2 linked regions of the Macaca mulatta genome follow. The protein of the gene in region 2 purifies or fractionates together with the protein of the main gene of each other region. This does not show direct contact. Links are inferred from orthologs where the notes say so. Each region holds a gene or a part of one and is shown on either strand. Other genes may lie near its edges.

Region 1 (4,907 bases), on a different chromosome or scaffold from region 2:
TTATTTGTAGGGAGCTTTAATTTTTTCACTCATTTATTTATATTCTTTTAAATTAAATAGGGACAAGGTCCTGCTATGTTGTCCAGGCTGTTCTCAAACTCCTTGTTTCAAGCAATCCTCTCAGCTTGGCCTCCCACAGCTGAGATTTACAGGTGTGAGTCACCATGCTGGCTCAATATTTTCACATTTGAAAGGTCATTCAGATTTCATATTCTTTGAGTCAGTTTCAGTAGTTTCTTTCTAGGAATCTGTCCATTTTATCGAAGTAACTGAATTTGCTGGCATATAGTTATTTATTATATTCCTTTATAATCCTTTTTATTTAAGTAAGGTCTCTAGTGATTTGGTAATTGAGTCTTTACTCCTTTTTTTCTTGCCAGTCTAGTTAAGGCCTTTCAAAGAATCAACTTTGGGTTTTGTTGATTTTTTCTCTAATGATTTTCTACTGTTTATTTCCACTCTAAACCTCGTTTCATAAGTTTAGATCAGGTTTAGTTTACTTTGCTTTTTCTAGGTCCTCAAGTATAAACACAGGTTACTGATTTTAAACCACCTTTTTCTCTTTCTGAGACAGGGGTCTTGCTCTGTTGCCCAGGCTGTAGTGCAGTGCCGTGATCACAGCTCACTGCAGCCTTGATCAACTGGGCTCAAGTGATCCTCCACCTCAGCCTCCCACACAGCTGAGACTACAGGTGCTTGGCACCATACCTGGCTAATTTTTAAATTTTTTTGTAGAGACGGGGTCTCCCTATGTTGCCCAGGCTGGCCTCAAGTGATTCTCCTACTTTGGCCTCCCAAAGTGTTGGGATTACTGGCGTGAGCCACAACATCGAGCCATGTTAATGATGTCTAATTTCATTTCCTTGTGTTTAGAGAATATACTTTGTAAGAATCCAATCTTCTTAAATTGCCTGAGGCATGTTTTATAGTCTAGCATATGACTATGTTTCATGTTTACTTGAGAAGAATGTATTCTGCTGTTGTTGGGTGTTGTTTTATAGACATGAGGTATACAGTCAGTTTACAGTGTTGCTCAAGTCTTCTACTGCCTTCATCTCCTGCCTACTTGTTCTATCCAAGAGAAACAGTTTCTGTTGCTTAGCTTTTTCTTGTGTAGAGGTCACACTCTCTTGTTCTTTCCATGTCTTATAATCTGTGGTTGAAAAATTGGACATTATAGATAATATATTGCAGTAACTCTGGAATTCATGTCCCTGGGGACTGATCTTGTGTTTTTGGTGGTTTATTATTTTTCTTTAGTGACTTAGCTGAACTAACTGTAAAGTCTACTTCCCCCATAGTGTGCAGCCCCTGTGGCTCTGCTCAGATGTTTTTACTTTTTTTTTTTTTGAGACGGAGTTTTGCTCTTGTTGCCCAGGCTGGAGTGCAGTGGCGTGATCTCAGCTCACCACAACCTCCAACCACCACCTCCCAGGTTCAGGCGATTCTCCTACCTCAGCCTCCCAAGTAGCTGGGATTACAGGCATGCGCCCCCATGCCCAGCTAATTTTTAGTAGAGACTGGGTTTCTCCATGTTGGTCAGGCTGGTCTCAAACTCCCAACCTCAGGTGATCTGCCCACCTCGGCCTCCCAAAGTGCTGGATACAGGCATGAGTCACCATGCCTGGCTGTTTTTACTTCTTTTAATCTTTCACAGCCTGGCTACTGAGAGGCTGTCTCTGGGTAGGCATAAGCCACTTACTGATCAAAGATTGGACTTAAGCCCCCTTGGCCAGTTAAGATCTTAAAGCCCACCCTAATGACCACCGGAAATGTTATGTGACTTGCAGATTGCTATCAAAGCTGAAGGAGTTTACATTTTAGCTTCCCATTCAGTCAGGGACTAATAGTTGGATCTTCATTCTCCACTTAGTCCAGAGAGGGCATGCACATATTCTGCCAGACTGTCAGGGATGAGTGTGATTTTATTTTAAAGCCTGACTTCCTAGGAGGTGCTCCTGGGTCAGAGTAACTGAATGTTCAGTCAATGATTAGAGGTTGTGTTTAAGCCTCATATACCAGTGACGGTTACACCATTTGTTGATCAATCCACTTATCCGTTTCCTGGGGCTGCCGTAACAAATTACCAAACTGTACAGCTTATACAACAGGGATTTATCCTCTCAGAGTTCTGGAGGTTCTGGAGGCTACACGTCTGAAACCAAGGTGCTGGCAGGACCACACTCTCTCTGAAGACTCTAGAAAAAATCCTTCCTAGCCTCTCCCTAGCTTCTGATGGCTCTGGCAATCCTTGGCTGGTAGATGAATCACTCAAATCTCTGGCTTCACACAGCATTCTCCCGTGTGTGTGTTTCTTTTCCTCTTACTAAAATCCCGTTTGAATTGGATTTAGGCCCACCCTAATCCAATACAATTTCATCTGTAATAATTATATCTGCAAAGATCCTATTTCCAAATAACATCACATTTTGAGGTTCTGGGTGGACATGCATTATTTGCGGGGGCGGGGGGGACACTATTCAACTCAGTACAATCTATGTGTGGCCTGAAAATATTATCTGAATACCCCACATCCTACTCTGACTGCTCCTGAGTGGGTATGGCTGGTGCATGTGCACAGCCTTGTCCCCCAGGGCTGACTGTGATCCCAGAAGGGCTCTTCTTGGCTTTTTCCCTGGTGCTATTTGTTGAACAACCTATTGCTCTGCTCTTTTGTATGTTGCTCCTAGTATCATGGGAGCTATTACAGCCCTCTTAATTGGTCTCCATCATGACATCCACTGTTTTCCACAAAGCACTCAGATTTGGAAATCTCCATCACCTAAGTAAGGTAAGTCCACTGAGGAAGAACTGAGGAATTTCTGTGACCTGCCTTTCCTCCTGCAGAACTTCTGTGCCAGTGCGGGCTCAGTGATACCACCTGGTTTACAAGCAGGTGCTGGGGTAAGAGCATTGGGAAACCCAGCATTCTCATCTGCTATGCATGCTTGGAGCAGAGCTTCTGCCCCAGGAGCTGGGACAGGGAAGGGGGCCTCAGCCTGCTTGACTGCGTCCACCAAGAGTAGAGCTTCTGTAACTCCAGACTAGGAGAGGTGAGATATGCTGGCATCTGACCTCTGCGAGTGAAACCACAGTCCCAACCCTGGGAGCTGGTAAAAAGGGGGAATCCCTTGGCCTCCTGACTGTACCAACCCAGACTACAGCGCCTGTAGTCGTTTCTGTGAGAGGGATCTGGAAGGAGTTGGAGGGAGCAAGTCATAGCTCAAATGCCACAGACAACGGCTATTATTGAGATTTAGTAGGTTTTCTTGAATTAACTGTTTATCCATCTGCTGTATGCCCTTAGGAGAATTTCCAAAAGCTTTGAAAAATTATTTTTTAAAAGTAATGTTCTCCAGCTAATGGTGGTTTTTGCTGGTTGGGGGCTTTGCTATACTCCTCATCCCACTATTTCAGAAACACAAATCTTCTATTTTTAACATTTAAAATTTTCCTTCTGAAAGTAAGTATATACAATTAAAATTTACAGTTACTCACAAGGAATATTTTAAAGTGTCATCTAATTCCATGATAGCAGCCTGGTTCCCACAACGGTAACAGTAATTGGGTGCACTGAAAATAGTAACCACATTCCGATCATGACACCAATTGTATCCCTGCAGGATAAAAACAAATTCAATATTTCATTATAATAATATGATTTTGACACAGATACATTAAAAAAAAACTAAACTCAAAAACTACAGGCACTCTCTGTGGAAATGTAGTCGTCTATATTACTTTATAAGGTTGCCATCTTTGATAGTTTGTGTACCTGTACAGAACCCTGTGCAATTCGTGGGCCTAGGATTCTGTTAAATGCAGCTCGCTAATTGTTGTTTTGCCTTAACTATGCTTGAAATCTTGGCAAGGATGTGTACTGAATTTCTCCCACAATCCTAATAAATCTCTCAATTTTCCCTCATGAATTATGCCAATTATTCTTTATATATTTTGAAGCTATTACTACGTAAATACAAATTTAGAATACTTTCTTCCTAGAGAACTGGGACAGATTTCATCAATAACCTCTTTATTTCTAACAACACCTTTTATTTGAGCCTATCTCATTCATATTATTGGCTATAATTAGTATTAGATATAGTGTGTATATATATACATGCTAATTAGTGTTACGTGTGTGTATACATATACATGTATGTGTATATGTATACACATACACACACACACACGTGTTGCTCAGGCTGGAGTGCAGTAACATGATCTAGGCTCACTGCAACCTCCGCCTCCTGGGTTCAAGCAATTCTCCTGCCTCAGCCCCCTGAGTAGCTGGGACAACAGGTGCACGCCACCACACCAGTCTATTTTTTTGTATTTTAGTAGAGACGGGATCTCACTATGTTGCCCAGGCTGGTCTTGAACTCCTGAGCTCCAGCAATCCGCCTGCCTCAGCCTCCCAAAGTGCTGGGAATACAGGCACGAGCCACCGCGCCAGCCTATTAGCTATATTTTTGATATTTTTATTACTTGATATACCAATATACCATTTCCCAACTCTTACCTCTAGTTTGTAGTGTCTTTTTTTTTTTTTTCCCCCCTCTTTTTTTTGAGAGAAGGTCTCACTCTTTTGCCCAGGCTGGAGTGCAGTGGTATGATCACAGCTCACTGCAGCCTCAACCTCCTGGCTTCAAGTTATCCTCTCACCTCAGCCTCCCGAGTAGCTGGGACAATAGACATATGCCACCATGCCCAGCTAATTTTTTGACTTTTTTTTTTTTTTATAGAGATGAGGTCTCACTATGTTGCCCAAGGTGGTCTGAAACTCCAGGACTCAAGAGATCCTCCCACCTCAGCCTCCCAAAGTGCTGGGATTACAGGCATGAGCCACTTTGTCCAGCCAGTCATTTATGTTTTAGGTACATCCCAAATAACAGCTACATTTTGAC
Region 2 (3,664 bases):
GAGGATGAACATGGGCCTGGTTTCATCCAATCCTTGTCCTATCGCCTCCCTGTTCTTGCAGCCCCTGCCCGGATGGCAACAGTAGTTCTAGGGGGAGACACCATGGGCCCTGAGCGTATCTTCCCCAATCAGACTGAGGAACTGGGACCACATCAGGGCCCTTCAGAAGGCACTGGGGATTGGAGCAGTGAGGAGCCTGAGGAAGAGCAGGAAGAAACGGGGTCGGGCCCAGCTGGCTACTCCTACCAGCCCCTGAACCAAGATCCTGAACAAGAGGAGGTGGAACTGGCACCAGTGGGGGATGGAGATGTAGTTGCTGACATCCAGGATCGAATCCAGGTAGGGTGGAGGAGGGATGGTTCCTCAACAGGTGAAGCTGGGCTCCCTGAAAGCCTGGACCCAAACAGTCTTCTCTGGCTCTGCAGGCCCTGGGGCTTCATTTGCCAGACCCCCCATTAGAGAGTGAAGATGAAGATGAGGGAGCTACAGCGTTGAACAACCACAGCTCTATTCCCATGGACCCAGGTAAAAGATCATTCTTTCATTCTGGAATAATTACTAAGGAAATGAACTGGCATGAGTCAGTAGAAGGAAGTTTAAGAGGAAGACCCTATCCTAAAAAGATAGTTTGTAAACTAAGATTTTGTAGACTTCAGAGTCCAAGTGAAATGCTCTTCTGCTATCTTTGGGGATGGGCAGGCTTGCCTTGAAGTAACAAGATGGATTTGGTGACCCTACCAGCCCAAGGGCTCTGGGTTGATTCAGGGATTGGGGAGGGGAGCTGGTCCCATTATTTCTATACCTGAGTGGCCTCTGGCTCTGATTTCAGAACATGTAGAGCTGGTGAAAAGGACGATGGCTGGAGTAAGCCTGCCTGCGCCAGGGGTTCCTGCCTGGGCTCGGGAGATATCGGATGCCCAGTGGGAAGATGTGGTACAGAAAGCCCTCCAAGCCCGGCAGGCATCCCCTGCTTGGAAGTGACCACAGTGAGAGCTGCCTTATCTTCCTACATTCCAGGCCAGAACCAGCACAGGACTGAACACATCCCTGGTTGTAACGTCCATTTCCATCTTCCCCATCTCCCTTTCCACATCAAGGCACATCAGACTTCTCAGAGACCCACTTTATTCAGTTCTGTACATATGGGGACATCGGCCCAAGCCCAACCCACCTTAGCATGTATCACTCTGTGGAGAATAAAGCACCCTATGTACACAGCCAAAAGCCGCACTGCCTGCGCCCCTGGAACCTGGGTCCAGCCCTCCTCAGCCCCTGGCCCCTCCAAGGTACCTACAAGGGACAAGAGAAGGCCTGCCCAGCATAGCACAAACAAGGAAATAAATAGGTGTTGGCAGGAGCCATGCTTGGGGCACCGCTCCCTGCTTCCTTCTTTATAGTTTTGGGAACCAACAGCACAGAAAAGCAGTCAGCCCCAGGTGGTCCCTTCCATGTCTGTGACCCCAGGGCTGCTGCTCACCAAAGACAGGGCATGGGATAGGGTGTTTGTTCATCCCTCCCCGGCCACACTTGGTCCATCTGGGCCCTATATTCATCAGTTATTGTCCACAGCCTATGCTTTTCTCCTTTTGACCTCCCTTGGTCAGGCATGGGGTAAGAAAAAATAGTACAACCCTATCTGCCAGCACATGGCTGCGGCTGGGGGGCCTGTTTGTGCTGCAGGGGGTTGGCTTCCCTCCAGCTACTCCAGGGGCCAATGGGGCTTGACATAACTTTGGTGAGAATAATCTCTGCTGTTCCCTACATGCCTCTGCAGGGGAGAGAGAGGAGGGAAGACACCTGGCGTTCAAATGAGGATGAAGGGAAGAATAGAGGAGCATATGTATTCCTGTGTGTACTTCTCAGAGCAGCCTCAGGTAGCTGTGGGTGAGGATCAGGTAGGGGACAGGCATCCCCAGGTTGTCTGAGCCCTAAGCATCTTAGTGCTCAGCCTGTACTAGCCACAGGGAGGCATGAACACCTTTTGGGGAGAAGAGGGACCACTCTGTGGGTGTCCCTGCTTCAAGTGCCCGCATCCCCCTCCCTGGAGTAGCTAGAGAGGCGCTGCCTTCCCCCAAGTCAGCCAGTAGGGAGCAGAGTGTGGAGGGCCGGGGCAGTGTCCCAGGGCTGAGTGGGCTGTGGCCCTGTGGTAGGAATGTGAGGGGTCAGAGAGCCTCCTGGCTGGCAGTTAGAAACTCTTCCGCCCGCTTGTGCGCTTCCAGTGCCTTGATGGTGTACACGTCCTGGGGCAGCTCCGACTTCCTCCGCAGTAGCACTTTCTCCTTCTTGATGTCTTTTAGCATCTGTGTGTGAATAGGGACAAGGAGAGGAACGGTGACCAATTCCCAGTGAATTCTATTGTTTCCTCCCCTTATTCTTTGGCTGTGCTGTTTCTGTCTCCTCTCCCTTCCAGAACTATTATTTCTGCTCCACCCCGCTACATTGCCCTCCCACCTGCACAGCCTCAGTCTCCACAGTCCTCTTCAGAAGCTGGATGTCCTCAGCTGTGGGGGTCTCTGTCTCCATCGAATACACAGGGGGCAGTGGTGGAGGAGCTCGGAACATGGGATACTGAGTGAGAGGAGACATGGACAAGTGGTGAGAGCCACTTCAGAGGCTTGGAGGCCTGTGTGCCCCATATTCCTCCCCTAACAAACTCTCCCCAGCTCAAGATGGGCTGGCCCCTCGGTTCACAGCAGTGGCAGGAAAACTTCACCTGGGGATTAAGCCGGGCCAGCTCCTCAATTTTTTGCCACATCTCTTCCCTTTCCTTCATTCGGAACCGGCCCCTGAGGAGCAAAAGTAGGATTGGGTTTGGGCTTGAAACACAGTGAGCTGGTGGTAGAAGATGAAAGTCTCCCGGGGAGAGAGATACTCACTTCTGCTTCTCTGCCTTGTATTGTTGTGTGCAGTCATCAAACAGCTTCTGATTCATTTCCATAAACAGCTTCAGGGCATTGTAGATCAGTCCATGGATTGTCCTACCACCAGGAAGAAAGATGAGTAGGAGGCCAGAGCCTGCCCTTAGTGCGAGGAACTCAATTTGTTCTCTCACAGGGGTATCTCTGCTAAGAGCTTTGTCATTTACTATGTCCAGTTCACAAACCTCTATGCAGTATCAGAAGAGAACTCTGGCCAAATCACCTGGTTTGAGACTGGCATTTCATGGTCTTCACAAATATTGGTCCACGTGTCCATCCTTCCCTCACCCCATGCTCTTCACCCCATCCTTCCCTCACCCCTGCCTACCTCCCATCCTTTCCCACTCTCTAACCCATACTAATGGCCTCCCAGCAGCATGATGGGCATGTAGATGCAGCATGACGGACTGCATCTGCACCACAGTGTGCTTGCTTTTAGCAGAAAAGTCTTTTCAAAACCCTGAGAGAGAGTTTCTTTTTTTTTTTTTTTTTTTTTTTTAAGACGGAGTCTCACTCTGTTGCCCAGGCTGGAGTGCAATGGCATGATCTTGGCTCACTGCAACCTCCACCTCCCAGGTTCAAGTGATTCTCTTGCCTCAGTCTCCCAAGTAACTAGGACTACAGGCATCTGCCACTACGTCCAGCTAATTTTTGTATTTTTACTAGAGATGGGAGTTTCACTATGTTGGGCAGGCTGGTCTCAAACTCCTGACCTCGTGATCCACCCGCCTCGCCAGCCTCCCAAA

What was found. Proteins that work in one complex are often made in the same cells at the same time.
Region 1: the proteins of PPP2R5D (region 2) and PPP2CB purify together in Homo sapiens (affinity purification with mass spectrometry; 8 studies listed by BioGRID and IntAct, counting the BioPlex papers as one, with this or other methods). This does not show direct contact. The link is inferred for Macaca mulatta from reciprocal best matches to the Homo sapiens genes PPP2R5D and PPP2CB.

The regions. Positions count from the first base shown.
Region 1 is NC_133413.1:32,576,409-32,581,315, forward strand, and holds part of PPP2CB (serine/threonine-protein phosphatase 2A catalytic subunit beta isoform), read right to left. Parts: intron 3,618-4,907; coding exon 3,499-3,617; intron 1-3,498.
Region 2 is NC_133409.1:139,115,170-139,118,833, forward strand, and holds the end of PPP2R5D (serine/threonine-protein phosphatase 2A 56 kDa regulatory subunit delta isoform), read right to left. Parts: intron 2,979-3,664; coding exon 2,877-2,978; intron 2,787-2,876; coding exon 2,714-2,786; intron 2,569-2,713; coding exon 2,452-2,568; intron 2,301-2,451; coding exon 2,163-2,300; 3' UTR 1,109-2,162; downstream 1-1,108. Other genes in the region: MEA1 (male-enhanced antigen 1), read left to right, coding at 62-339, 426-525, 830-981. UniProt on the Homo sapiens protein: The B regulatory subunit might modulate substrate selectivity and catalytic activity, and might also direct the localization of the catalytic enzyme to a particular subcellular compartment.